Lytechinus pictus: one gene and its partners. The protein of the gene in region 2 purifies or fractionates together with the protein of the main gene of each other region. This does not show direct contact. Links are inferred from orthologs where the notes say so. Each region holds a gene or a part of one and is shown on either strand. Other genes may lie near its edges. The genes, in order: syntaxin-17-like, synaptosomal-associated protein 29-like and alpha-soluble NSF attachment protein-like.

Region 1 (10,537 bases), on a different chromosome or scaffold from region 2:
AAAATGCTTTATATGTTTAGCTTACAAAGATTTTGTTTTAAAATGGCAATATATTATATTTCATAATGGTGGATAATATGCGTGATTTCCCCTTTTATCATCTGAATAATGATGATTTCTTATTACTAAATCATCAAGATAAAAGCAATGTTATCTCAAATCATCATACTCCATTTGATAGATTTTCTACTGATATTCTTACAAATAATTTTGATGAACTTCAAGTTGAATTCGATATTCATGATAAAGCATACAATCTTTCCTCTTCTCCATATTATACAGAAAATTCATTCAAAGACTATGCTAAATTGATTGGAGAAGATGATGTTTTTATTTTGCATTTGAATATAAGAAGCGCTAACCAAAACTTCGAGAAATTACGATTATTATTAGAAAATACACAGTTTGCCAATCCCCCAATTATTGCTCTTACTGAAACTTGGTTCACAGAAACCCCGAATTCCTTATGCACCCTCCCGAATTATGATATTGTTATAAACAATAGGAAAAATAAAATTGGAGGTGGACTAGCATTATATATTCCGTCTTCATTTGATTATGCAATTAGACATGAATTTGAATATATGAATGAAATCATCGAATCCTTATTTGTAGAAGTAAAAATTCAAAAAGATAAGAAAACTCTAACAGGTGTCATCTACAGACCTCCTCAAACGTCTTGTATAGAAGATTTTTTACTTGCTACTAATGAACTTTTGCAAAACGGAGAATTGATAAATAACAATTGTATCATCACTGGTGATTTCAATATTAATCTATTGACCAGTAATCACTCTTTAACAAATTATTTCCTTGAATTAATGTTATCTTCTACTTTTTTGCCTATTATTTCTAGACCAACCCGTATTACTGATCATTCTGCTACGCTTATAGATAATATATTCTGTAACTCTCATCCTCTTCCGAAAGCTGGCATTGTAACGACAGACATATCCGATCATTTTCTTATTTTTACCCATATCCAAACAATGCAATCACTCGCAAAAATGGAAAAGAAATATAGGATCTGTCGCAACTTTAGTGATAAAAATATTGAACGCCTTCAAGAAGATTTAAGCTCTGTTGATTGGTCTGACGTTTATAACTCGAATGTGAATGTCGATGACTCATTTGACATATTTTTGAAATCTTTCAATGACTGCTTAGATTATTGTGTTCCTTTAAAGAAATATCGAAATTACGATTATAAACGTGTTCCAAAGCTCCCATGGGTTTCAAAATTGATATTAAGGTCTATAAATCGGAAAAATAATCTGTATGTTTCTTATATATCAAATCCAAATGATATTTCAAGGAATAGATACACGTCTTATAAAAATACCTTAACAACTACTCTCCGAATAGCAAAAAAGAGGTTTTATTCAGAAAAATTAAATTCATATAAAAACGACCTTAAAAATACATGGAAAACAATAAATGGGGCCCTAAACAAAATTAACAAATCTAGTGCTGTTCATAAATTATGTGTAGATGGAAATATGGTTGAAGATACTCATTCTATAGCAAATGAATTTAATACATATTTCTCTCAAATTGGACCAAAGTTAGCTGGAAATATTATGCCTGTAGAAAATTCGTTTAAGGACTTTTTGGATAAACAAAATGAAAGTTCAATATTTCTTACTCCAGTTCATAGAGAAGAATTACTTGAGATTGTATTTAATTTGAAAGCAGAAAAGACTCCCGGTTATGATGGCATTACAAATAGAGTTGTGAAAAACCTTATACATTCTCTTGCTTATCCTCTGCTTCATATATTTAATTTATCGTTGCAGCTTGGCCAGGTCCCAAAGAAGATGAAAATAGCTAAAGTTATACCCATTTTCAAGAAGGGAGACCAATTAATTACTAGTAATTACCGCCCAATATCTTTGTTAACTTCGTTCTCAAAAATTCTTGAAAGGATAATTTATAAAAGGACAGTTGCTTTCCTTAAGAAATATAGTATTATATGTGATAATCAATTCGGTTTTAGAGAAAAACATAATACAACTCATGCTATATTGACATTAATAAATAAAATATCTACTTCTTTTGACGATTCTGATCACACCGTAGGGTTATTCCTCGACTTCTCAAAAGCGTTTGATACAATAGATCATGAAATACTATTATGTAAGCTATCAAATTACGGTATCAGAGGGACAGCTTTACAATGGTTTAGGAGTTATCTTACTGATAGAATTCAGTTTGTTACAGTAAATGAATCAGAATCTCCAACAAGGCTAGTTTCCTGTGGAATTCCACAAGGTAGTATTCTTGGCCCTTTGCTCTTTGTACTTTATGTTAATGATATGAAAAATTCATCTCATGTTCTCTCATTTATTCTCTTTGCTGATGATTCCAATATTTTCTTTACACATCATGATCCACGTGTACTTGTGAGCACTATGAATGCAGAATTTAAAAAAGTAACAAACTGGATTAAAGCCAACAAACTGTCATTGAATCTGCAAAAAACTAATTATATGCTTTTTAGTCATTCATTGAAACATCTACCGCATCAAATACTTTTAGATAATACTGAAATCAAAGAAGTGCAAACAACAAAATTCTTAGGTCTTACTATTGATCACAAGCTTACGTGGAATGCTCATATCAACAATATTTGCAAAACTGTGGCAAGAAATATTGGAGTCATCAATAAGCTTAAAAACGCTCTTCCATCACAGGCGCTATCCATGTTGTATTGTGCATTAATTCTACCATATCTTAATTATGGAATTCTGGCATGGGGTAATGCCTCTCAAACGAGACTCAATAAAGTCTTGCTACTTCAGAAAAAAGTACTGAGAATAATATGCAATATGTCCTTAAGAGCTCATACAGATGAATTGTTTCGTCATAAACGTATCCTTAAAGTCAATGACCTGTATCGCTTGCAACTATTCCAATTCATGTATCAGCTAGATAGAAATAGTGTACCTAATGTCCTACAAAAGAAATTTATGAAAAACAATACCTTACATTCATATAATACGAGACATTCAAATGACTATCACTTACCCAAAAGTAGAACAGTATTTTCTAGCAAAACTGTATTTTTCACAGGACCAAAACTCTGGAATTCTCTGGATAGAGTAATAAAAGAGGCAGCTAATCTAAACCGATTTAAATTACTCATCAAAAAATTTATTCTGAATTCTTATTGATTCAATCAAATATTTTGTGAACCTCATACTTACCCACGGTAGTATTGATTATTTTAAAGTCAATATTTAATTTTGTATATAGTGTGAATACATTTGTGTTACAGTGTTTATATATAATTTTATAGAATTTTGCTGATTATTTTACTCTACTTATATCATATTACCCTTGTATAAAATCTTGATAGGGGGTCTACATTTTACAAGCTTTGCTTTTTAGTAGGCCCCTCCACTTTTTTCATTTCATTGCTACGTTTCAATCCTGTGTGTTATGCATTTTTTTCAGTGTTAAAATGATTTATTATAAATGTACTTTGATGATTGTGGAATATGAATATATCAATAAAATAAAATAAAAATAAATTAAGAAACCCCCTCTCAGCATCCTAACACGACATAATAAAACAAGTACCCAATAACAGAAAAAAAACCTATACGCCTCTCGTGCTCTGCCTCAAAACTACGCCTAATTCCACCAGCCACGCCAGTTTTACTCCTGCTTTCTAAACAAACTTGTTGAAATGACAAGAATATCTGTTAGCATTAGTAGTACAATAGCTATGTCTAGTCGAACTTTTGTACCCAAGTAACCTTTTACTAGTCATTTACTATTTAGGTTTTGGAGTTTAGAACGTCTACAACCCCCCCCCCCCCCCGAAAAAAAACCTATGTAATAATATTAATGTATAGCATTTATGATTAACTAGTTGCCTTTTCAAAGGCTCACTGTATATTACCCCATGTATCACGTTGTTAATTTAAAACTCATATCATACAGAAATTCTTCAGAAAAAAAATCTTGATTCATCATAAAACATGGCAGTTCATGGGACTCGTAATGCATGCGTGGTATGAAGAACGGCTTACTAGTGAGTAGACAATGGCGTCACCGGCGTCACAATAATAAGCATTAAAAAAGTAATGTTGCAATGTCTGTCCTGTTTTTATACAAAACAAACATCATGGCATGAACAGTGTCATTTCCATTTTGATAAATATACATACTTGCAGGTGTAAAGAAACATTTATAAAAACAAAAAAATACGTATGAAATAAATTGAATATAAAACATAAATGATATTGAAATCTAAATTTAAAATGGCTCCAGTGATAAGTCTTGCAAGGTTGAATAAAACAATTATGACGAAAACACACCGAAATTAGAATATCTTCAAATAGAACTTTGAAACCAAGAAAATAAGAGAGACATATTAGGATGGCAGGGAATTTTGATGAGAAAACTGTACTGATGCATTCATCTCACTTAGTGTATTCAGGAAATAATTTGAATTTTGAGAAAGATTGATGGGGGAAAACGCGTTTTGTATAGTTCCGCTATTATCATAATATGATTTATGAGATTCAGTTTCGCAAAATAAGAAGATAAGTATAAGGGTTATATCATTCTATCAGAATAGTTAAATGTATATTAGTCAATAGGTCTATTATGGTTAGAGGTCTGTTTTATAATCATGCTTGTTAATGGGATGGGGACTTGTTATTTCCATTCAAATAATTTCCAGTAAATGATAATAATAATATATAGCATTTATGAGGCGCCGATTATCTATAGTTTCATATTCAATGGAGCACTATATTATACCCATGTGATAGGTCTACATGGGCTGCACTGGTATGATTATGAATTGAATTGAATTTTTTAGAACGTCACTGGCATTCGCCAATATTTTGTTCAAAACAAGAAATACAAAATAATACAAAACAAATATACAATTCGAGGAATATAAGCAGATAAACAAAAACAAAATAGTATTTCGTCAAATGTATAACATGCCTCTTTTATTATTTACAATATAGGTCTTCTGTTTAATTATTGTTTTAACTTCACAATAGAATGTGCAATGGGCGGTCATGTAGGTTTTTATATTGTTTTGTTTGTTTGTTTTGCAGTGAAAAAGACATTCAACATACTTAATTTGCACGTTTCTTTTCTGTGTTCATGAAAACGCATACATAGGCAAAGTGCATTATAGGGAAAATTTCTTGCACTGACTGGTGCCCTTCTTTAGGTATAGGTCCAGAAATATATAATCATACTAATTTTCGCATGAATCCTCCTTGAATGTTTTCCGCAATCCAATTCTAGTGGCTGCCATTTCCTGAATTTCCCATAATTTTACAACCAAAATACCAAAGTCAAATGTCTGGGTTTTTTTTTTTTCAATTTTCAAGCTCATGGCCACTTATAGAAATGTTTTACCCTGGCTTGGAATTTCTCTTGCAATAGGCCGAGACTAAAACTGAATCGACGTTAGAAAAAATATTCAAACAAATCTCCAAGATTAAATATGATTTCTTTGGAATTAATTTTGGATATTATCTTTTTAAGATAATTATGTAGTATGGTATCACGTACTCTATAATCATTTATTTTTGACTTGGAAAGTAGCGTATATGCTACAGGTGCCAAAATAACAACGATGGCGAATTGGCGATGACCCCTTGGCGCCTGCGTGGGGCGGGGGTAGGCATTATGCCAGAGTTCCCCCACATGATTTTTTTTTAATCGGGGATCAATAACCGTACAATTTCAGCAGAAGTGAAGTTTTGGAGGAACCTGTGCCTTTGAATATTTTTAACAGAAATATGGCACAATGTAAATGCTCTGGATCATCATCATCTTTTTTTAAGCTTTCTCTCCGTATCCTAAGTCAAAATTCAAACTGAGGATAGAAAAGAAGAGTGATTAGTAAAGATCATGATAGTATCATGAAAGTTGGAACTTGAAGGAGAAGAAGAAGAAAAATAAAGACGTTAATATAATGGAAGACGAAGAAACGATAGAGGGCGACGTTAATCAACACTGAATATGCGGGATTTCCCACGAACGATTTCGTAAACAAAGCTAAGCTCGGCCTCCATCCTCAGACGAAATTGTGAGCTTTTCCTCGTATTTATAACATTTCTTAAAAACCGTTAGTGCACAGAGCGTTATTGGATACTGTGATGGACAGGGAATAACATATGACACACCAAGAATCCCCTTGTAAGTTGGACCAGTATGGTATGTTTCGGGTATGTTCACGCAGATATAACTTAAGTAACTACATGTACCGTATGTAGCTGACTCCTGACCACGGCTCCTAACTCTGAGCCTCGGGGCCGCGCCGCGCCCGCAGCTCGTACCGGTATCGGGCGGTGGTCCGGCCGCAATGCCAATGATCAGGGGCGGTATTCTGAAAACGTTCTTATCTTAATTTTGTTCTTATCTACGTCACGATCTCAAATTGGTATTCTGAAAACGTTCTTATCTTTTTCTTATCTTTTGTTCGTATCTTTTTCTTATCTTGCTAAACATCCTTACCTCGAGCGAAGTTCGTGCAGGCTCCACTCCACTTCACTACCGCTTCACCTACCCGAAGGTGAAGCGTAGTGTAGCGGTAGTAGTGAAGTGGAGTGGAGCCTGCACGAACTTTGCTCGAGGTAAAACATCCTATGCTGAGCGCGTAAATGTATTACTCGCGCATATAATACAAAAGCGCGCTAAAAAGATAAGAACAAAATGAAGATAAGTGGTATTCTGAAAACGTTCTTATCTTTTCTCTTTCTTATCTTTCACGATATTTATGATAATATTTAAGATAGCTAGAGGGTTATCACATCTCACGATGTCCGCGTTCGCTCTTGCTTAAAATCGATGGCCACTATTAGTAACAAGTTCCCACAAGTATTCCTCCCACCCTTTCTTTCAATCACCCTTTATTTTCCCGTCTCTTTTTTCTATCCCTTTTTTCTTTCTTTCTTTATTTATTCATTTTCTCTTTTTCTTCCTATCTGTCTGTCTTTCTTCCTTTCTATGTGTTTGTCTTTCTTTCTTTCTTTAAGTTTATTCTTCATTTATATCTTTGTTTTATTCTTTTGAATCTTTTAATTTCTTTACTTTTCTTTTGCTTTGTTTCATTTATTCTTCATATTTCTTCCTTTGTTATTTTCCCTTTTCATTTTATCCCTTTCTTTCTTTTCTTGAATAAGTCTTTATTTCTGCTTTTATTCTTTCCCCTTTCTCTCTTCCTTTTCTTTTCTTTTCATTTTTCTTTCTTCCGTCACATTTTTGTAATCTTTTTATTTCTTCCTTATTTTTTCTTTAATTCTTTCGTCTTTATATGTGCTTTTCCTTTTTTCCCCTTTTTCTTTCTTTCTTCCTTCCGTTAATATTAATTTTTTCCCCTTATTTTTTTTTCTTTTCTTTTTTTTTCTTTTTATTTTTGGGTTCTTTTTTTTTTTTTTTTCGTTCATTCGTTTGTTCTTTCTTTCATTTTTTTTTATTTCTGCTTCCTGACACTCTTGTGTCTTATTTACTTTCTTTCTTGTGTTTTATTCTTTATTTCGCTCATTCTTTTTTCGTTCATTCTTTATTAACTCTCTTTCTTTACTTTCCTCTCTGTGTCTTTCTTCTATCAATTATTTCTTTATTCTTTCCATTAATGTTTTTCCGTTTTCTTTTTTTTTATTAATTCTTCACTTTTCCTGACTTTTTATTTTCCCTTTTCGTTCCTTTTCTTTCTTTGAATTTTCCTTTCTTTCTTTTTATCTTTCTGTAATCTTTATTTTTGCTTTAATTTTCCTTTCATTTTTTCTCTCTCATCTTTATTTCTTTGGTTCATTTTCCTTTTCCTCTCTTTTTATTCTTTTTTATTTTGTCCTTTTACTTTTTTCCTTTAAGTTTCTTTCTTTTATTTCTTCATTTTTTCTTCCTCACTGTATCATTGATAATCGTTCTATTTTTTTCCTTATTTTATTATTTTTAAGTTCTTTTTGCTTGCTTACTTTCGTTTACTCTTTATTTCTTTCATTATTTTTTGCTTTGTTCCTTTCATCTTTTTTATTATTCCTGCTTCATTCTGACACCTTTCTGTGTACTTACTTTCTTTCTTCATATTTTATTCTTTATTCGTACCTGCTTTATTTACTTTTTATCTTTACTTTCTTTCTTTCTTTATTTTGTGCACGTGTCTCGAAATAATAATCAGTCATTGCGTATAAAATTCATATTTCGCGCAATGCGCAGGAAACAGTGTACGCACAGCGCCCATGATATTCTCTTGACATAAGGAACGCTTCTATTGGTTAAACTGCCAATATAAAGTGCATTTTGATTGGTAATATCCTAAAAATGGGCGTGTTGAAGATAAGAAGGAGGCAGTCCTTACAAAGATAAGAACGCGTTAAGAAGATTTTCAGAATACCGATTTGCAATGATTTTAGCGTCTTCTTATCTCAATGAGATAAGATAAAAGATAAGAACAAAGATAAGAACGTTTTCAGAATACCACCCCAGGGCTCCGTAACAGAAAGGTTAGCGAAACGGAATACAGAGCTACCAAGTCTCACGCATTGTGCGTGAGACTCACGCAGTCAGGGTCCGTCTCACGCATGGCACCTTTTTCTCTCACGTATCGGGACAGAAAAAATAAAAGTAGCATTATATTCGCTAGATTATACGCACTGGCCGCACGCCGTCGCGTCTACCCCGGCGCACGAGACGAATCGAGAGTACAGTCAGCGCACAGCTAGTACGTGATACGATGAATCGCGTGTGTGCATCGCATGGTTTTGTAGTATGGATTGATATCATGATGAAGCCTTGTTTTTACTTGCACGCTGTAAGCAATTTTTTATCGAATAATGTACATACACTTGCACGCTGCACTTCACCAGTACGACAATACACCAGGCGGTGGACTGTACTGTTTCCAGAAGAAGAAGAAGCCCATATCTCGCGCGAGCACCTTTTCGAAACGTACAAAGCGTAAGTACTGGCCGCGCCACGCAGAGACGCCGAGTCATGAAAATCTCACGCATAAAATTTTTTTGAACTTGGCATCTCTGGGAATAATGAAATGAAATGGCGTATCAAGATCATTGTTGCATGCTCATTAAGCTCAGCAGACTGACGAGGAACCAATCAGAATTGTGATTTCAAATTAGTGATTAGTCGCTAAAGTTTTTGTTTCGGGGCCAAGGGCAAGGCCAGTCACAATCAATGCTAACCCAGGCCAGGGAGAAAATTATGCACTTACCATGATTATATGGATGAAGGTCTATCGTGACACACAAATCCTGACATCGAGGCACAGACTGGAACCTCAAAAAACGAAAAGTTCTGTCGCGATACCTCTCCTTTCAAAATTCAAAAACAAAAATGGCCAATCGAGACCGAGGGTATATTTCGTTTTTTTGAGGTTCCAATCTGCGCATCGATGTCAGGATTTGTGTGTCAGGATCCCGGGGGGGCCACTTCCATTGACGAGTGGATACCATGCGCGACCATGGGGTCTCGAAAAGCACCCTAAACACGTATTTTCCATTTTCTGAAAATGCACCCCTTAACAAGTATTGGCGTCTGAAACCCTACACTTAACAAGTATTGGAAACAAAACGATACTCTTGGCAAGTATTCTCTGAAATGAACCCCTAAACAAGTACAGCGATATTTTATTGTTATATCACGGGTCCGTTCGTCGTGGGTTTTACCTTTACACAGTACGGCCCCACCTTCCACATCTCACACAAATCGGACTCTAAACACGTAGTGTTGGGGCAAAAAGGACATCCTTTATAAAACATTTTAATTTTGTTTTATCATCCCCGCAAATTCGATCCTAAACACGTAGCTTTCCTAGCGAATTAGATACCCTTTTTTCATTATTTTTGTGTTTTTGACACCCTTATCACGTTACGTATGTAACGTGCCCTATCTTGAAAAAGACATCCTTTTTACGTGTTTTTTTTGGTCGCGCATGGTATCCACTCGTCAATGTAAGTGGCCCCCCCGGGGTCAGGATAGACCTTCATCCATATAATCATGGTAAGTGCATAATTTTCTCCCTGGCCTGTGTTAGCATTGATTGTGAGTTGTGACTGGCCTTGCCCTTTATTATTATCATTTTATTAAGATTACTATTGAGACCCCAATCTACCCCAGTCCCGCGTCTCCCTCGTTTAGCACGGTTGACTCCTGGGGGGCGTTTCATCAACATTTTCATCCGACAAGTTGTCAGATCTGACAACTTTCCTTGATAATGATTGGCTGAGAGTCACTGTTACCATAGTAGCTGTCGGATAAAACAGTACTTGTCGGATACAACATCCGACAAGTCCTTTCATGAAACGCTTCCCTGGGTTAATCAATGCCAATGCTGGCAATGCCTAACTTAGCCTTGAGTAGCCTGGAGGCTTCTGGAGACGGATTTCCCTAGGAAATCGATCTTTTAAGATAGAAATCATGTAAATTTGTTGTTGGATTTTATTTATCTATACAACTTCATACCCCTAATGCATATATGAAGGTGCAAATAAATGTTAGTATAAATATGAAAAATGAGAGGTTTCTTACCAGACCAATC
Region 2 (10,305 bases):
TGGATATTGACAAAAATATGATCGAGGGGCAAAACATTGATGATAAAAAAAATATAATATAGTCACATCGTTAAACCTAACTGAGGAGAGACGGCTGACAAGTTTCCTGATACCAGCCTTCATTATCTTCTAAGGATCTTCTTTACTTCTTTGTCTGTTTTACCCAGTTTGTCATCTACTCTCTCTACCTTGCCTGTTATCCTGTCAATATCAGCATTCTGTCTCTCCAGTTCATCATTCAATCCCATGGCAAGTCCCTTTAGGCGACCAATACCTGAGCCAATTTCATCTAGTTGATAGGGAGAAGAAGAAGATAAATATAAGAATGATTGTAATTTGCTACCTAAATCATCTACAATCAAATGAGCAGGATAAATGTATTTCAACAGGGCAAAAACCTTAAAATATTGCATTGATAGTTATATGCATGGTAACTACAAAATATATATATAAAGAATATAACATGCAATCTGAACAAAATATGCAAATTACACTTTGCATCAATCCATCGTGTAGTTTACATTTCATGTATTCTTAAGGAATTCCTCAGATGACAGGAAAATAAATCTAAACACAATTTCTATGCTGTTTAATCAATATAACAATAAAAATTACCTCTATTTTGACTCTACTCTTTTTCAAATTTCTCTCTTGCCATAAATTCTATACTTTCAAATCAAATTTCTAGCATTAATAATAATGATAATAACAATAGCTGGATTTATAAATCGCTTTTTGCCAGAGGGTACAGAGCGCTGCTATATTACACTGGCTTTAGCAGTGCTACCCATATAGGCAATCAAACATTCATCAAGGTATTTATTCCTAATGGGGGTATATTTCATTAAATGCAGTTAAGAAATATTCAATCTTCATGAGTCTACATGTATAAGTAAATTGAATTGTTTCTTGTCCAAGTTGTTAGAAAATGGAACTGTAACAATTTCTAGCCATGTTAATAAGGATTTTTAATTCAATAGGTATGATTAATATTATGAATACTCAGTTTCAATGAATATGGATTTCAAAAGTCATTTTCAATTCATCATTCAAGGAGTTCTACTGCAAAGACAAATCAAAACTCATCACTCATTTCCTGAATGAAATGGGTGAAGGAAGGGATGGAGGAAACACTATCTACAGACATTAGAAAACTGTAGACTACCTTAGTGTAAGCCAATGAAGGAAACAAATCATACAACTAGATTACTACACCACTAATTGGTATTGATGTAGAAGAAGAGTGTTCCACTTTCCCTTTGTTAACAAATCAGAAAAAAAAAATTGAGAATTATCAGCAATCAGAAAGTATCATTATCCTCAAAGGAAACAAGACAATGCAAAATTTTCATTAAAAAGATTAATTTAATTTAATTAATTTTCATGAAACATGAGGCATTAGGAAGTTCTGGTTAACCTTTGGTAATCTTATTTCCATGTGTTCTATTGCGATTTATATGCATATTTTAAGATAAGAAAAAACGGTGACTGATTGTGTATCATTTATAATCCCAATTTCCAAGTTTCCTCCTAATATTCCAGAGACAAAAGGCACATGTGTAGAGATCATGTATCTCTCAATGTTATTGAAGTAATTATATTTATGTGTGGAAGTTTGCGGACCAAGCAGGCCTGGGACCAAGTAATATTTCATATCATAAAAATTGTCTTTTTCTCAATTTAGCCAACAAAACCAAGGTCTGGAAAACTGTTTCTTTGTATTATGATCTGATGACCCTTGGTAGTCGCAACTATCACATCACCTATATGTTCTGATTAAGACTAGAGATAATCTCTAGGCAGCAAATCTCCTTTGATCAAAGAATCACGTTGAATGTCTATCTAAAATAGATCCATGATTCAACTTAAGATCTCCTCCAAGAAATTCTGATTTCAGGGAATCCAGCCTTTGCCATAAAATGTTGTGTTGGGAAGGAGAAAAATAAATTAAACAGAATGGTGAAAGTTTGAAAGAAATCGGACAAGCAATAAGAAAGTTATAGCTGCTTTAAAATTAAGATCACTAATAGTATGTAGATTTCAAATTGGCAACTGGGTAAGTAAATTATGACAAGGGGCAAGGACAACTTTCCCATAGGCCATGTACTTTATTATCAGGGATTTGTGGTTTTCTCCTAAGTACCCATTCCCCTGGGGCAGTAATCTAAATATAACCCAGGTAGTATATTGTTTAATGTCCTCATGAAAGAAAAATATAATTTGAAATAAAACTTTTGGGAAAAATGACATTTTAGCCATAATATGTATTGGAGTACATGGAAGAGTAGTCCTTGCCTTACATCACTATGACATCCCATATGCGGCCAATTTGAAGTCTCCATGAGTATAGTGATTACCAATATTTACAACTTTTAAAAATTCATAACTTTCTTGTTGTTTGTCCAATATTGTTCAAACTTTCACCTATAAACTTGTCTGATTTTTCTTTTTCTTATAAAAACAAGTTTTTATTTGGGTTGGATTCCCCTTTAAAAGAAAATATTTTTCATAATAATGAACAAATATAAACTTTCAGCAAATCTAAATTCATCTGATCTGACCTACTTTTCAGAATGGAATTAATCATGTGGCAATGTTGCTGATTTAGCAGAGTTGTAAATTGTTTGTTGGGGGAAATGTCAATAATCTAGTTTTTGCTTCCATGACGCACAACAGATTAAAGAACATAGAAAATATATCCATGACATAGCACAACCAAAACTTGGTGAATCACAATGGCAGTTTCATCTTGGAGTCAGGACAAACGACAAATTTGCAATTTTTTGTCAGCTCTAGAACTTAGGACTAAACTTCTGTTCCGGTTCATCAATATTCAACAAAGACCTCCCAGCTGTTCTTTGTCATTGACAGGCACTTTCAATATATTTACTGTGTTCTTGAATCTGTCCCTATTGCAGTTGCAAAAAATACCTTATACAGAGACAATGCTGGTTTGCTCTCGATAAAATAAGATTGTGTATTTAATCTGAACAAGTGGTATGCCTCTGGCAAATCTAGTCTAGATCCGTGTATGTGCTGTGCCATGGACTAGAAATGGCCTGGTGGTAGAGACATGCCTACCAATCAATAGAAAACAAATTCATATCTGTCTGGTTCCAAGATTTTTTTTTTCTGACTTATTTTCTAGAACAAACATGATATCTTATTATACATGTATTACCTGGTGGGCGTTTCATAAGGCTGTTTGTAAGATAAGAGCAACTTTAAGAACGACTGGTGATCCTTTCTATTGGTAAATGGTATACACCATTGGTGATTATTCAGCGCGTAAGAAAGGCTCACCAGTCTTTCTTAATAAAGTTGCTCTTAACCTACATGTACGAACAGCTTTATGAAACGGCCCCCAGGTCTCTTTCTTTTATTCTCTATCTCATTACTTCTCCAATTTTGTGCTTTGTAGAAAAGTCATATGTAGTCCATTTCATTTTCAGTTTGTCACTACAATATATAGCTTACCTAGATTAGAATTGAGATGATTATCAAAGTCCCTCATACTATGTGACTGCAACACGTTACTGCTAGACATTCCACCATCATTCTCCCCTCCAAATCCTCCTGTACAAGATGAGCCCCAAGAACCTGCACTGGGCTCCGAAGCACCCACCCCTCTGAGCTTCAGAGCAGGATGATCAGAGTTAGCTCTTCTCATCTCTTCCTCTGCTTCCACCCTCTCCATGTGTGTCTTAAGGTTGCTAGAACCGTGTGACGGGGCTTGCTGCTCCTGCTGGCCAGCTTTGGGTTTGTTGAAGTAGTTTACAATGCCTCCAAATATTGATTTCATTGATGTGATATGTTTCTTAGATGTATCAAGGTCTTTGTCCATCTTGTCCAGTTTGGTGTCCACTCTCTTGAGTTGTTCACCTTGGTGTAAAAGTTCCTGCATAGGTTTTTTTTTTTAATATGAAAATATACATAATTTGTGATTACAAAGTAGAATTTTTCCCTACTTCAATTTCCTCTAATTTGGGATATCATCAAACATACAATCAATAAATTATTTTCATTTCATAAGGACCATTTTTTTTTTCATATTGGGGTGATTGCTGAATTCTGGGGCTTTTTTTTAATTTCAAGGTGCTACTTTCTTGCACAGTAGGCAATTATATGGTTATTCTGCCATATTGAATATACTGATTTTCTACATATTTTTCAATATTGTTTGTGGCAGATCTTAGGGCAACTTGAGAGAAGAGCGTCATCCCAAAGTTTTTGATTTGAAGAATTTTAGGAGGCAAGTTGGGCAAAATTACCCATCACAATATGTTTTTCCTACACTGATTCAAACACAGGAAATCATCTAACCTTCTTTTTCTTTTATATATATATATATATATACAGTGCGTCCCACAAAAAACGAAGCCGAGATTTATTGGTGATTTATCATATCTTAATCACAAATACAATAGACAAATGACCTACAATTGTAAAGCTTACAATCTCCCCTTATCTGAAATTACTTAGATTATTTCTCATTCACGCATGAGTGAGCAAAAACAATTTGAAGAGGGGATACCAAAGTCATTTGGCAGACTGTATCTGGGTTTCAAAAAGAAAACCACATTTTTAAAAAGTTTAATATCTGCTCTTTAATTTGATACCTCAATTACAGAAAATGTTCAGGAAATAACAAAGTTCTGGTTATTTGAAATAAGGCTTGAATTTCAATAATTTCATAAAATGAAGAGGTTCTACAGGCTAGCGTTCAAACTCACTTCTTGACACTCCGTTTTGTTGACGATCAGCCATGCATTAAGCATGTTAAGTCTTTTGTTAACCATGCGATAGCTTCTGTGGGAAACCGATGAAAACACGTTTATTTAATGAAATTATGGAAATACAAGCATTGTTTCGAGGGAACATAACTTTTTTTACTTCTCGACCATTTTGTCTGATTAAGGTATCAAATACAAGAGCACATATTGAACTTTTTAGGCATGTGATTTTCTTTTTGAAATTCAGATACCCCCCGCCAAATGAGTTTTTTGCATCCTTTCTTCAAATTGTTTTTGCTCACTCATGCGTGAATGAGGAATAATCTAAGTAAAATCAGATGAAAGAGGAGATTCTAAGCTTTACATTGGTAGGTCATTTGTTGATTGTATTTGTGATTAAGTTGTGATAAATCATCGCTTAATCTCGCTTTGGTTTTTTCTGGGACGCACTGTATATATATATGCAGGCTCGCACTAACACACTACCGTCAGTGAATGGGGATGATAGTAAAATGTCAGAAATTGTTAAATCCCCAGAAATGATTGTTATTCCTGTCTAACCATAGTCCTACCTGTAGAATCCCACAGGCAGGATGGTTGCAGTGAGCAAGTGAGTTAAGAGTGACTGAAAGGAGAATGAAACCCTTGAAACTAGCTGAATCCATATCAAAGAGAAAAATCAAAGAAACATATTGTTGAAAGTTTGAGGAAGATTGAATAAATGATAAGAAAGTTATGAGCATTTGAATATTGAGATCACTAGTGCCATGTAGATCCTCCCATCGGCAATGCGACCAAGATCTGTGATATCACACACGTACAACTCCCTCATTACTTTAGTACTTATTTCACTTATATTCTCACTTTTATAGAGTCTATCACAAGGTTATGTGTTTTCTTTATGAGATGACAAGTACAGAGGTTTCACAACATTATATCATTGATGAATCGTTTGTCATATGATTAGAATGAGCAAAAAGATATGTTTTGGGGTATATTTTCAGTGTCCGAATGGGAGAGTTGTACGTGCGTGACATCACAGATCTTGGTCGCATTGCCAATGGGAGGATCTACATAGCATTAGTGATCTCGACATTCAAATGCTCATAACTCTTTTATTGCTAGTCCTATTTTACTCAAAGTTTTGTTGATCTTATTCTTTGATTTTTCTGCTTTCACAAAAGCTAACTTGCTCCAAGAGTTTCATTCTCCTTTAAGTCTTTAGTTAGGAATGACTGGTGAACCTTCTTCTTAGTATCTTACATTAAATAATCATCAATCATTAACATGATCAAATAAATGGTGAATATCATTTACCACAAGGATCACCAGTAATCATGGTCATGCCAGTTGTTGAAGTCACTCTAACTTTTAAACATAGTGAACAGCTTTATGAAACAGGGGCCCGTTTCTCAACACCGTCATAAGTCTAACTTCTTGACTAAATCGGAGATAGTGAGCTACTTGTCCGCTAACCGTTTCACGAAGCCCTCTTTACCAAGATCGGGTACAACAACCTCACTAAATATTTATGACACCTCCGAACCTGTCTTAACTTCTTTCTTAATGACGTAGTGGCATCACGTGGGTAGACTATGACATGCGAAAGTGCCTAGAAATTTTAAAATTATAATCTTACATAATCAATCATAGAGATTGAAATTACATCACAAAACAAGTGGGTTAATGCATTCAATGATAATTGTAATACAAAGAAACTATAAAAACTGTTGGTAAACGCCACAAAACCATTAATTTTGAAATAGTAAAATGATTTAATCGATAAAGATTCTAGTTCTACCACGTCAGGCCATCCATAACAGAACTCGTATTTGTTGTTTTCAGACCCCTATTAACAGTTGGATGAATTCTATCTCTAATTTATGCATATAATTTGTCCAATATCGTATCTTTCGGTATCAATTATTAACAAGTGGAATGCCTCTGGCCGTCTCACCTGCATCACGCGATTCAATATAGCAGCAGTGCTGATTTTGAAAACTACTATAACTCGCACAAGATGTTCAGTGATACTTGGTTACTCTTATTTCCACGTTTTATGAACTAGACCAATACACTTATAGAGATATGATGGCAATTCAACAAATACCCCCAACGTGGCCAAAGTTCTTTGACCTTACATGACCTTTGACCTTGATCATGTGACCTGAAACTCGCACAGGATGTTCAGTGATACTTGATTACTCTTATGTCCAAGTTTTATGAACTAGACCAACACACTTTCAAATTTATGGCTGTAATTCAACAAATACCCCAATTTGGCCAAAGTTCATTGACCCTAAATGACCTTTGACCTTGATCATGTGACCTGAAACTTGCACAGGATGTTCAGTAATACTTGATTACTATTATGTCCAAGTTTCATGAATCAGATCCATAAACTTTTAAGGTTATGATGGTAATTCAACAGATACCCCCAATTCGGCCAAAGTTCATTGACCCTAAATGACCTTTGACCTTGGTCATGTGACGTGAAACTCATGCAAGATGTTCAGTGATACTTGATTGACCTTATGTATAAGTTTCATGAACTAGGTCCATATATTTTCTAAGTTATGATGACATTTCAAAAACTTAACCTTAGGTTAAGATTTTGATGTTGATTCCCCCAACATGGTCTAAGTTCATTGCCCCTAAATGACCTTTGACCTTGGTCATGTGACATGAAACTCAGGCAGGATGTTCAGTAATACTTGATTAACCTTATGGCCAAGTTTCATGAACTAGGTCCATATACTTTCTAAGTTATGCTGTCATTTCAAAAACTTAACCTCAGGTTAAGATTTGGTGTTGACGCCGCCGCCGCCGCCGTCGCCGCCGCCGTCGCCGTCGGAAAAGCGGCGCCTATAGTCTCACTCTGCTATGCAGGTGAGACAAAAATGTTTCGTTAACTATATTTTGATGACGTTTGGAATCGTAATGGTCCGTATAATTATCATCATTTTACAAAGAAAACCGTTATGGTTTACTTTCGTAAACTATTAAAATTGGGTCTCCCGGGGGTACCCATCTCAACGTCCACAAGTGATTTTTTAGTCATGAAATGAATTATTTTCTCTGAAATTGAATGCTCCAGTCTTCATGGTCTAAGTATGTATGATGCATAATTCACCTGTGCTATTATTTTGAAAAGATTTATTTCCCAATTCATCATAATATTTGCAATTTTGTAATAATTTTTCTTTTTGAAAATTATGCTATTTTGTGACTAAGGCTACGTCTCGTCTGCTCTTTTTACCGATAGTATCGATATCAAGGTATTCTAGTTAGGAAGCCTTTCGAGAAACAGGTTTAGTAAGATTGGAACTAACTCCGTGGTTGGTGGATAAAGATATGACTAACTTGTCCATGTGTTGAGAAACGGGCCCCAGGGCCCCAAGACCAGCTGCCCCGGGGGGGCCACTTACATTGACGAGTGGATACCATGCGCGACCAAAAAAACACGTAAAAAGGATGTCTTTTTCACGATAGGGCACGTTACGTACGTAACGTGATAAGGGTGTCAAAAACACAAAAATAATGAAAAAAGGGTGTAAGATTTAGAAAGTGTATTTTTTCTTTGAAATATTTAACATGACGTCAGAGACGTTATTGGGTCGTAGTATCATTTATCTGGGTCGATAGAGGGCGTTGGAAATTTGCCTTGCCAAGATCGACAAAGATTTAAAGTTCAGCCCGTCGTGACTTTACAGTAGAATTCAAGATAATCGGTACAAGTCCAATGTTGTAAGTAAAAGGACCTTTATATTTCCGTAATGTAATGTTTAACTGAATATATGGAACCAAAATTAACTCGAGACGATAATTAATTTGTTGTTAATTTAGCTCATAACTTTGGTGAAAGTGTTTGGAGTTAACGTATAGAATACAGGTGTGATAAACGTATATTGACATTGTACATTAATAGGTAATTGGACATGCACATGAAGAGTGTTGCGTAATAGCATATTGGTACGGTACTGTGTGGTAATCTCGCACACAGTGCATAGTAGGCTATTCATGTTCAGAGTTGTAAACGAAATGGAATGTCAAATAAACAAATGTTGTTCTTTGTTAGCTACATTTGGCTCTAGTTGTTGAAAAGGATACAGTATATGTATGAGTTTGGAAATAAGGCATTAAAGCCAGTTTTTGGTGCATTTTAAAGCCCTGATAATTACAAATAACACATACAGTGAAGGTGAAATGAAAGCCTAGTTATTTGGTTTGAGTAAAGTTATTGCTAGTCAATAATGCCCCAGAGTATATAGTTTAGAGGCAAGGTAATATTTAAGTATCGTAGTTGATATAAAGGACAAATGAGACAAAGTAAAGGTTTTGTTTATTTAACCGCATATAGCAAAGTTTATTCAAGGTCATTTGAATACATTGACAGAATTTGACAGGTAAATTTGTTACAGGAAACCAGAATATTTATTTATGCAAGATTCAAACGTCACAAATAATTTGTGCAATACATAGACTATTTATTTATCTCATGCAAGTACATAAATGTAACTGCATATACAGATGCTTATTATTGTTTGTTTATATTTTTATGCTACAGATTGAACATGCTCGATGGTATGCTCGATGGTATGCTAGATGGTATGCCCAGATTGTATATTTGATGCATCGTATGATAACTGGAAATTCCGCGTCACCGAGTCTTTTGTTTGAGTACTGTCTACTGTCAAGTCACTAGTAGTTATACGTCACATAAAGTTCAATAACATTGTCACCGTAAGAACAGTCGTCACCGTCACCATCAAGAACAGTCGCCATGAGTGGATCATCTGAAAGTATCAAGTCCGAGGACTCGGCCAGCCAAGGTGGTAAGAGTTCAACAGCGTCATCAAGGATAAAGACGAAGGCCAAGAAGGCAGCCCTGGCAGCAGAGCTAGCATCCTTGAGGGAACAGCATGAGTTAGAGCTTCAAGAATTTCATCTACAGCAAAAGAAGGCACAGTTTATGTTAGAAACTAAGCTCAAAGTTGCAGCAGCAGAAGAGGCTGTATATGAACAATTTGATCAGCATCCCAGTCAACTCGACATTAAGATAGAACCCACAAGTGAAGAACTTGGTCAACAGCAGCAGCCCATTCAGCCACAGATTCAGGCCAGCGAGCATGGCAACAATGTACGTCAGGAGAATTTGGAAGACACAATGCCATACCCGCAGCACAACCAAGATTTGTATCAGTATCAGCAAATACAGCATCGTTTGTTGGAAGCAATAAGCCTGTCAAATGTGGAAATCATGAAGTTTAACGGTAACCCTTTACACTATCATGAGTTCATGGCATGTTTTGATAATTTGATAGGCTCGTCTACACTAGACAGAGGGACAAAGCTCATGAAGTTGTATCAGTGCTGTGAAGGGGATGTAAAGAACATCATACAGTGTTGTATGGTAATGGATCCAGTGCTAGGATATCAACGCGCCAGAGAATTACTGAGAGAACGCTTTGGCAGTAGATTTAAGATAGGAGAAGCATGGATTGAACAGATAACTAATGGTTCAGCACTTCATGCAAATGATAGAACTGGACTACGCAAGTTTGCTGACGAA
Region 3 (10,341 bases), on a different chromosome or scaffold from region 2:
GTACGGTTCCATGACATTTGCTCTGCTGCAAATTCCACACATTTAATGGAATGACCAATTTCAACCCTGCATTTAAAACTATACTTTATTTTAAACCTTAACAGTAAACATATTAAACACAAAACCCTATTGCAACCCTAACCCTACATCCTAGACAAAATAAAGCCCGGAGCAACTGTCGCCGGAACAAATGTCGTGTCACCCCGTGTACGCCCACTAGAATATATTACATGTAGAGCTCTCTACCATTGGGGAGGCAGCTGCGTGTATTCAATATTGGGTATCTCGATCCGGAAAAATCCCTTATCCGGATTGGTACTGGTGCCAACGTGTCCAGATAAGAGAGGTCGGACTGTAGTCTCATCGCTGACCTTAAATTATGCACTTTCTAACAATCAGAGCTATCGTATATGAGTCTGAAGAACAAAAGCAAAACCACATGTAGGATCAGATGTGGCTGCTTCTGTGCAAATTCAAATAAAATCTCCTGACTGCCCAGGAACAAGCAAGTGCACAAGGTTCTTCATGCACTATCAAATTCACCAAAGAACTTCATCTCAATACTGTTTTCATTTGTTCATTTCATGGTTTATTATTTTCAGTAAAACAATCATACACATACTGCAGCCCTGGGGGGGGGGGGGGGGGGTCACTTACATTGGCAAGTGGATTCCATGCGCGACCAAAAAAACATGTAAAAAGGATGTCTTTTTCAAGATAGGGCATGTTACGTACGTAACGTAATAAGGGTGTCAAAAACACTAAAATAATGAAAAAAGGGTATCTATTTCGCTAGTTAAGCTACATGTTTAGGGTCAAATTTGCGAGGGTAAAAAGATTAAAATGTTATATGACGGATGTACTTTTTGCCCCACAGTTATCACTACGTGTTTAGAGTCCGATTTGCGCGAGGTGTGGAAGCTGGGGCCGTACCAACCCAATGATGCAGGTAAAGGTAAAACCGACGTCTGTGACATATAATCGCTATACCGGTACTTGTTTAGGGGTTCAATTCAGGGAATACTTGAAAAGGGTATTGTTTTGTTTCCAATACTTGTTAAGGGTAGGGTTTCACACGCCAATACTTGTTAAGGGGTGCATTTTCAGAATATGGAAAATACTTGTTTAGGGTGCTTTTCGGGACCCCATGGTCGCGCATGGTATCCACTCGTCAATGGAAGTGCCCCCCCCCCCCCCCCCCCGGGACTGCAGCTGAAAAGCTGAAATGTAACACGAGAGAATCCCTCATATAAAATGCAAACTCCTTTCCAAAACACCACGAAGCGAAACATATATATTACTGTCTATCAGATGGCTTTCAATCTCAACATGCTATGAAATTGCTAAGTCTTCTTCACTCACCACAGTTGACATTTTCAATCATGCTCATTGCATGTCAAAGGCGGCCTTCACCAAGGCACAAGGACCAAACAGTTTTGTTATAAGGATAGAGGAAGAGCTACATGTATGAAAAAGTACTCCACATGAGCAATAAGGTGTCAACACCAACACCTGATAAAAAAAAATCAAAAGGGAAGAGTCTGATGTCAATGACTATGAAAAGTCACATGGACCAGTCTAATGTACTTTGTTGTCATTACGTTACAAGTGAAGGTGCACAGCCAATATTGGAAATTCTTTCTCATTCAGGAGATTATCTCCAGTATCAGAGATTTTTGTAGATGATTTAGTATGTAATTTCCGACAGTCTCCAGCTTGGAAGACCAACTTTTTTTGTTAACATTTGCAGCAAAGAGAATACCTCTACGAATCAGTGGAATATTTTCCCAAACTCTTAGAATATTTCTGGTATTTTCTGAGCCATCCAATATAATATATATTCATTCACTTGCATGCGATGTTTTGAAATCGGCCGTGAATAATTATGTGTGAGGAACTAGATACTGGCCCAAAATCACAAATTTTGAGGATAACCGGAGGATGGACACGGAGTGAAATAAGGGTGTAGAGTAAGAAATTAAGCTATTTTTCTTTCTCGTTATATTTTTTTTCTATAATTTTTACAATAAATATATTTTGTTCCCACCTTTGCCTCTTGGAGTATCCGAACGAGTTTACGGGCTCGATAATCGGTTAGGTGGAGCGTAGGGTAGCGGTAGTGAATTGAAGCCTGCACGAACATCGCTTGAGGTACACCTACTATTGCTTGTAAAACACTTATATTTAATTCAAGGTAGAAAAATGAGCTCAAGTTAACTAGTGTTTCTTTTCCTGTACAAAAAATTAGGACAGCAACTCTCGATTCCCTCAAATATGTTTGTTTAATGAGATTCCCAAGTACCATCTGCTTGTGGAATGTCCTGCCTACAACAGTGGTTTTGGCTCCTTCAACTGAGTGTTTCAGGAGCCACCTGGAACCACTCACCCTCCGTTAGCTCTCCAGTTGAGATGCATCTTTTTACTTGCACTATAGTTTAGTTTTTTTCAACTGCACCAAATGTCATGTGCTTTTGTGATTGCGGCCTCAGCCAAGTACGACTATACTCTGTAAAGAGGACTGTACTCAACGGAAGAAGAACATGGATTGATGTGCACATATGAACAAGGAGGCAAGGAACATAGAAAGGGAACTGAGAGAAGGGAAGAATGTATTACCGGACGCACGCCTTATACGCATCAGAAATTTATTTCATATGCTCAAAACTTTGCAAAATCATTTCAAAGGGAACTTGAATAGACAGAAAAATGGTCAAAACACATTTTCAAAGACTTTATATTCATAAACTAATAAAATATTGTAAAAATAGCTCATCAGTGATTTTGTTTTCTCAAGTTTTCCCATAGAAAACACACATTCAGTAATACGATACCATTTTCACCATACCGGTATTTCACATGCGAAGAGGGGTTCGATCGGAATCTGATATCATAAAAAAGTCATAAAAGATAAACGATTTTGGCAAAATGTCTACATAGCCTAGAATCTAGATCTATTTGTATGTTTATATGGTGAAAGACAAGTTTGGTGAATTTTTGGAAAATATAGTGTTTGATGATTGAATTCATGAAGTGTTTGGCTATACAAATTACGATTCACTACCATACCCACTCACATGTACATGTATTGCGAGGTTAGTATTAGTATACTAACCCTATAGATACCATACCCATTGCTAGACCAAAAGCTTCGGTCTCTGTTATGTTAGTTGTTCAGCTGAACTCCGTTGGCTTCACTCACTAAATACAGAGACCGAAGTTCTAGCGCGATCTGTACAGGGGACTCAATGGCCATATGTTTATGTGTATTAAGTTTGGATAAAACAGGGCAGTGAAGTAGCGCGACAGCCAAGGTACATACATGTAAGTCACTGTTTTTGTTCCGTTTAACTTGATTTTCCCCGGTTTTTGGCAATTAATGCCAAGACTAAGAGAGAATATTAATTTGCATTTCTGTCGCGTTAATTTTCAAAAGTTTGATTCATTAAAGACAAAATTGAAGAGCCCCGACGGGGGGATTTTGCATTGTAAGTCCCCTAATGGTGGCTGCACGATAGCGAGCCGTCTGTCGGTCTGTGTACGAGGAGAAATTAAGAAAATAAAAAAATGTTTAAAAACTCCTCGAAACAGACGGCTGCCAGCTGTCTAACCCATTGCAAGCTTACGTTAGGCCCCAACCCCCAGTTACATGTACCTACCAAAATCCAAATTTGGCCAGTGTTCGCCCAGTCTTTCAAAATTCAAGTCTCACACGTCACTAGACTAGAACAGTCCACTCCAAGTCTAATTAATAATGACAAAGTTACCAATCAATAGCCTGAATAGGGCCAATAAAGATTAAGCCAAGGGAAGAGTTCCATTATCCATATACACCCGTTAGCCCCACTAAAATTGAAAACTAAAGTTAGTGGAGTCAACCTGTGTCAATATCAGAAACGTTAAGATAAGATTAACTTCGCTAAATCAAATCAGACTCAGGAATCAGAGACAGAGATTCAACTCACCCAAACATGGAACCAAAAAATCCTTGTGATGACTTCAGCTTCTTTTCAGCATCAATCATACACTGATTTGCTTTGGCTTCGTGATCCGCCATTCCTGAAGCGATTATGTATTGTTAATGTTGACGACTCACGACCAGAATTTAAAGGAAATTTTCAAGTTAAACTATCTATCAATGACGATAATGATTGAAGATCGGTCTAATAATAATGACATCATTCATTCAGTGTTGTGTCACCAAATCTACACACACGTACCGTAGCAAGCTATGTAGCTATATCTAGCGCGCGCCTACCGGCCGCGGCCGCGCCCGGATGCGGAAGCTTCATCCCACGATCCCATGTAGACAGCATGCAGAACTAGCAATATCGCGGGATGACCTTTCTAACCAGAGCGCGCGCTCGCGCGAGATTCGATTTGTTTTGATGAAACAGCTGATTTGACTTGAAAATAACAGCCGGTGTTTAATTCAGCAACAAAAAGTTAAAAGATCATCATTCTAAATTGCACTTGCTTCATTTCAGAGGACAGAAATAATTCAAGACTCAGTGGGTTGCTCCAAACACCGGTTTAATCATCATTGACTGCCTTAACTGCAACTGCAGGTTTGGTAAGAAACAACTAAAGAAAGCTGATTATCATGATTATTGGGACCCGGCCCAGAGGCAGAGCCAGACCAGTCGATCAGCTCACTGCTCAGTCAGTCTCACAATCACATGCGAGATCGTCTTGAATTTTGTCTTGAGGCCGAGAGTAGTTAAAGCATTCTACCTCCATGGTTACTTAGAGAGACTCAGTCTCAAGTCTGCGCATCAAACAATTTGGGTTAAGAATAAGATTTAACATGCATTTCTTTTTATTTCACAAAATATGAGTAACAGTTAATAAAGGGATACTCTGGGCTGAAAAGTTTTTTATCTAGATAAATATAGTTAAAAAAAACTCAATTCACAGAGCAATATGCTGAAAATTTCATCAAAATCGGATAGGCCTATGTCATAATTGTTTTCATATTTTCATAAATGTGTACAATGATGTGTCTCCATTATGATTATGATGAAATAAGTTGTGGCAATAAATAACTATTATTATTAATGCACTAAACTCTTAATGTGCCATTTACTGTAATCAGCGAGTGCCTTTTTTTTTCAGAGTCTATATTTAATTGTTTTATTTATTAAAAAAAAAGGGAATTACTCCTGAATAATTTAAACCTCTTGACCTTAAGCTGAACTGAACAATGGAATCACTTGTGCATGCAATGCACTCCTCAAAATGCAATAGGCATAACAATAGCTGTATGACCATTGCATGAAAATGTGTTTGTGGCACTCCAGTGGATGCACAGATATGTGTTCATGGCACGTTAAGTCTAGAGTTAATCAGTTGTCAATCCAATTGTTTTAGTTCTTGGAAGAAAAATGTTGAATAAACTTAATACAAAAGTGGGGATATGACATCATCAGCCCACCTAATGAATATTCATTAAGACATGACTAGAACTGTTTCACCAGAATAATGCAAATCTTTAAAATTCAATAACTTTGATATTTGTTATCTGATTTTGATCAAATTTTCAGCATTTTGCTTTGTGAATTTTACTCTATTTATTGAGATATAAATATCTCCAGCCTGGACCATCCCTTTAAAGTGTACTAAATATATCATAGAAATTTGAAAAAAATAGGTCTAGGCCTAAAGTTTTACTTAAAGGACAAGTCCACCCCAACAAAAAGTTGATTTGAATAAGAGAAAAATCCAAAAAACGTAACACCGAAAATTTCATTGAAATCGGATGTAAAATAAGAAAGCTATGTCTTTTTAAAATTTCGCTTTATTTCACAAAACAGTTCTATTCACATCCAGTTCGGTATGCAAATGACGTCATCCACTCACTATTTCTTTTGCACTTTATTATGTGAAATAAGAAATATTCTAATTTTCTCCTCATTGTCAAGCGAAACAACGATTAATTCCTCCTGGAACATGTGTAGTTAGCGTTGTTTAATACTGTATATGGTTCAGTCAAGTTGGCCCTTATTGTCAAATCTGTAAAAAATTAAAAATTGTATAATTCAAACAATAAAAAACAAAAGAAATAGTGAGTGATGGACATCATCGACTGACTCATTTGCATGTCACAGAGTTGTGCATATCACTGTTTTGTGAAAAATAAGCGAAACTTTAAAATTCCATAACTTTCTTATTTTACATCCGATTTTGATGAAATTTTCAGCGTTATGCCTACATGTAGTTTGATTTTTCTATATTTATTCAAATCAACATTTTTCTGGGGTGGATTTGACCTTTAAGAACTATTTAAAATAAAGATGAGAAAAATTTCTAGAGAAGAGAGAAAAAGAGGAATTGGATCTAGTATGTAAGGCCTAATTACTTGTAGCATGAAAAAATATTTTTGAAATTGTCATGGATGATAAGTGAAACTAAATGCAGCAGTCTAATTCAAACAATATCAATGTGTGCTTAACATACAGTCAGGAACTATGTAGTATCAGGATATAATGTTACTAAAAGAAATTGCAAAATTTATGACTGCTAGGCCCTGTCAAGTTTTATAATTTGCTTGGAATAGGATTATGCATGTATGAATTCGCTTATTATTTTGTGCATGCTATAGAGAAGAGACAAAATTTATGACAATTTTGATTGGACAAAAGTTGTAACATCCACCAAAATACTATACATTGTACCAATTCTGTCATATCTGAAAAAAGATAAAATTTTAAGAAAAGACAATGTTCAGAATATCCCCCGGGGGTGGTATTCTGAATACCGTGTTAGCACAAAAATGGTGTTAGCTAACACGATTGGTATTCTGAAAATCGTGTTAGCATGAAAAACATGTGGCCCAGGTGGTAACACTGCGTAGGTCATGAAATACGCAGTGCGCAACGCGCAACCCCCATACGCGGTGTTAGGGAGGAAGATAACACGAAATTTGGTATTCTGAAAATGGTGTTAGCTAAAATTTTGTTCGAAGATAACACGAAAATTTGACACTGCGTTAAGGAGAGGTTAAGTTGGGGATGACGATGGCTGCACTTTTTCTAATAGACGCAAACGTCAAAAAGAACATAATAGCTATCGTTTGGCAGGATTTACTGTAATTTTCTTTCATTTTTCCAGCTTTATTTTCCATCTACCTTTAGTCTCTACCAACAATGATTAAACAACAATTTCTTTGGAATTTCCTATGAAAATACACTTTAAATGCATCTTTGATTTGGATTAATTATCATATATGATCATGAGTTATTTATTTGGTTACTTTTTGCCATAATATAAAAAAGACAAAAGGAGAGGAAGAAAGTTACAAAATGTCTAAAAAAAAGCACAAACAAAAATTCAAAAGAATGGAATTAGCGATTGGGAAACTTTTCTATGATATTCACATTTTAAAAACCCTTTTTCAATGATTACCGGTATATAGCTCCAATGATTATTTTTTTAAAAACTCAATGCTTCTAGGTTATTCTCAATTTATCTATCATGCCAGTCAATCTATATGCTTCGGATGGGGGGGGGGGGGGGGGGAGGGGGCGGTCAAAAGTGTTTTTTTTTTTGCATGGCTAATCGCTATACGCATCAAATTATAATATAGAAAAAAAATACAATTTTGTGTTTGATATTTCAATGTCAGATATAATTTTTCTTAAAGTGCTTTTCATGCTTTTCAAAATTTGCATTTTTATTTTTCAAGTTCTCAAAATTATTGGGGGCATGTATAAATTATGCTTGCCCCCATATTTTAGGGCGATCGTCCCCTGCCCGCTGCACATTCGATCGAGGCCTCTGTCTCCTGTTATAATTTCGTATCCATGCTGTCTGAAACAATCAATTTCTTGTATTATGTTACTATTTTGTTATCTTGTGAAGTATGAAAACATACCCCTCCCCACGTCTCTTTCTAGCTCTAACTTTTATTTAGCTGTATGCGCTTACAAAATGATGTCACAATGCAGGCTTCGTGTCGCGTGCGCACGTTCCCTTTTCCCTGAAAATTTTGCGCGATTAGTTTCTTTAACAGCGCATTTGATTGGATTAAATAGATGTAGAGTGGGAGGAGCTATAGATAACACGAAATGAGATAACATGCAGGTAACACGGTTTTCAGAATACCGATTTGGGGGTATGTTAGGGGCGTGTTAAATCAGAGAGATAACACGATATTTAACACGAAAGTTGACACGATTTTCAGAATACCGCCCCAGGTTATCAATTTTCAAAAATTAGGACATCGGGGTGCTCTCTATGGCATATGGCAAGGTACCCTAAGTCTGTGTATATGCAGATATGCATGATTCTAACACTGGAGACATGCAGCGAAGACATTCTGTACACTTATAATATTCATTTAATCAAATTCTGATTTTCTGAGTCAAACTGATGATTGAAATAATATTGAATTACAGGCATTTTGTATAAAGTGAATGGGTGCGCAGACATAGGCAATGTTTAGGCCTATTTAAATCTGAAAATGACTGGCCACAGTTTTTTGCAAGAAAACCATATATAATTTGCTGCAAATTTATTTTTAATAAGATTTTGGCACAAATTAGTACTCATGAAAATATATGGAACAATATCAAATGCAAATTTGTTATGGAGTTTTAAAGAAATCCATGTGTAATATTTTGTTTTTCTTGGTGCACAGACATGGGCCCCTTTTTCATACAATTACATGAATTGCTGTTGAAAAGCGACAGTGTTTGTCTTCCTGTCTAGGTTAGGGTAGACTAAGAGTGAGACAAGATTACATGTTAAGGGTCCTTTAAAAAAAATAATTTATGTGGATGACCATGGTGGTCACTTTGTAAAGAAATTTGCCTTATACTCAGAGTAACTTGAAGAAGTTCCAGGACAGGGGTATGGAAGAGAAGATAACTTAATAAAACTTGCAAGCTTTATTTCATGAAAAGTTTGAAGTAGACACTGACATCAACAATTTCATAATTTTGATTGAAAAGTAAAGCTAAGCAATATTACAAAGAACAAACCCTCACAATTATTTGATATATGTATATTAATAAACCCTGAAGCAAAGGCAGAGCAAAAGATGTTGATTTTATCTGCCTTATTGGTGTTTCAAGAACAAAATTTTCAATCACAACCAAATTTCTGAAAATTTATAATTCGTAACTAATAGATCAATTTTATCTATAGCAAATGAATTTTTACTTCTTGTTGAAAAAGCAGACCAGCAATCGAGTAAAAAATTGCACTTAATTGCTGGAATTTTCATGATAATTAAGACCCCATATTGACTTGCAATTGAATGCCAGTTTCTTCACTTTCTTGCAATGCCCCATAAGTCTGTCTGCGGACATTGCATACTTGTCTCAGCTTTCTGTGTCACTTACTACTTCAACTGATAGCTCAATAGCGCCTTGTCCAGAGGATACTAAGTGCTGTTTACGGCATAAAGTGAGTTAAGATTTATATAGGTGCGTACATGTATGTGCATAGAATTTAATTTCAAGAATGTTGTGGATACTGGGTAGTGGATAACTGTATTAGTAGTTAATAGAGAATTCAATGTTTGAACACTGAAAAACTAAAAAAGAAAAACTGAAACTTTCTTTCCTGTCTTATGTTTGTGAACAGAAAAAAAATCCCCTTCAAATTCACTAATTTACTATCTAAAGTAGATCTAGACTTAGTAAACAAAACTCTTCAACAATATAGACTGATAAGTCTTTTCACTTAAAAACAAAAGGTAACTGCTTTATAGTCTACATTGGGCCATTCAAGATGTTTTCCTAGATAGTAGGGTGCTTAGTTTACTCTGCATGTGTGATGCCTCACATGGTGACTGCTTGAATTACTCAATAACTGTATAGTAGTTAGAGAATTTAACGTTTGAACTCTGAAAAACTCAAAAAGACTATATATATTAAAACCTTCTTTCCTGTCTTATGTTTGTAAAAAGAAAAAAAATCCCATTCAAATTCACTAATTTACTATCTAAAGTAGATCTAGACTTAGTAAGCCAAACTGTTCAACAACATAGACTGATAATTCTTCTCACTTGAAAACAAAAGGTAATTGGTAATTCTTTCCTGTCTTATGTTTGTAAAAAGAAAAAAAATCACCTTCAAATTCACTAATTTACTATCTAAAGTAGATCTAGACTTTAAATAGTAAGCAAAACTGTTCAACAATATAGACTGATGAGTCTTCTCACTTAAAAACAAAAGGTAATTGGTAATTCTTTCCTGTCGTATGTTTGTAAAAAGAAAAAAAAAATCACCTTCAAATTTACTAATTTACTATCTAAAGTAGATCTAGACTTAGTAAGCAAAACTGTACGACAATATAGACTGATAATTCTTCTCACTTAAAAACAAAAGGTAATTGGCT

Evidence for each region.
Region 1: the proteins of synaptosomal-associated protein 29-like (region 2) and syntaxin-17-like purify together in Drosophila melanogaster (affinity purification with western blotting; 4 studies listed by BioGRID, with this or other methods). This does not show direct contact. The link is inferred for Lytechinus pictus from reciprocal best matches to the Drosophila melanogaster genes Snap29 and Syx17.
Region 3: the proteins of synaptosomal-associated protein 29-like (region 2) and alpha-soluble NSF attachment protein-like purify together in Drosophila melanogaster (affinity purification with mass spectrometry; 3 studies listed by BioGRID, with this or other methods). This does not show direct contact. The link is inferred for Lytechinus pictus from reciprocal best matches to the Drosophila melanogaster genes Snap29 and alphaSnap.

Annotation. Positions count from the first base shown.
Region 1 is NC_087245.1:2,741,909-2,752,445, reverse strand, and holds the start of syntaxin-17-like, read left to right. Parts: upstream 1-5,993; 5' UTR 5,994-6,177; intron 6,178-10,537.
Region 2 is NC_087246.1:3,635,168-3,645,472, reverse strand, and holds the start of synaptosomal-associated protein 29-like, read right to left. Parts: upstream 3,909-10,305; 5' UTR 3,905-3,908; coding exon 3,478-3,904; intron 290-3,477; coding exon 123-289; 3' UTR 1-122.
Region 3 is NC_087251.1:20,744,138-20,754,478, reverse strand, and holds the start of alpha-soluble NSF attachment protein-like, read right to left. Parts: upstream 4,335-10,341; 5' UTR 4,055-4,334; coding exon 3,963-4,054; intron 1-3,962. UniProt on the Drosophila melanogaster protein: Required for vesicular transport between the endoplasmic reticulum and the Golgi apparatus. Also between the endosome and phagosome.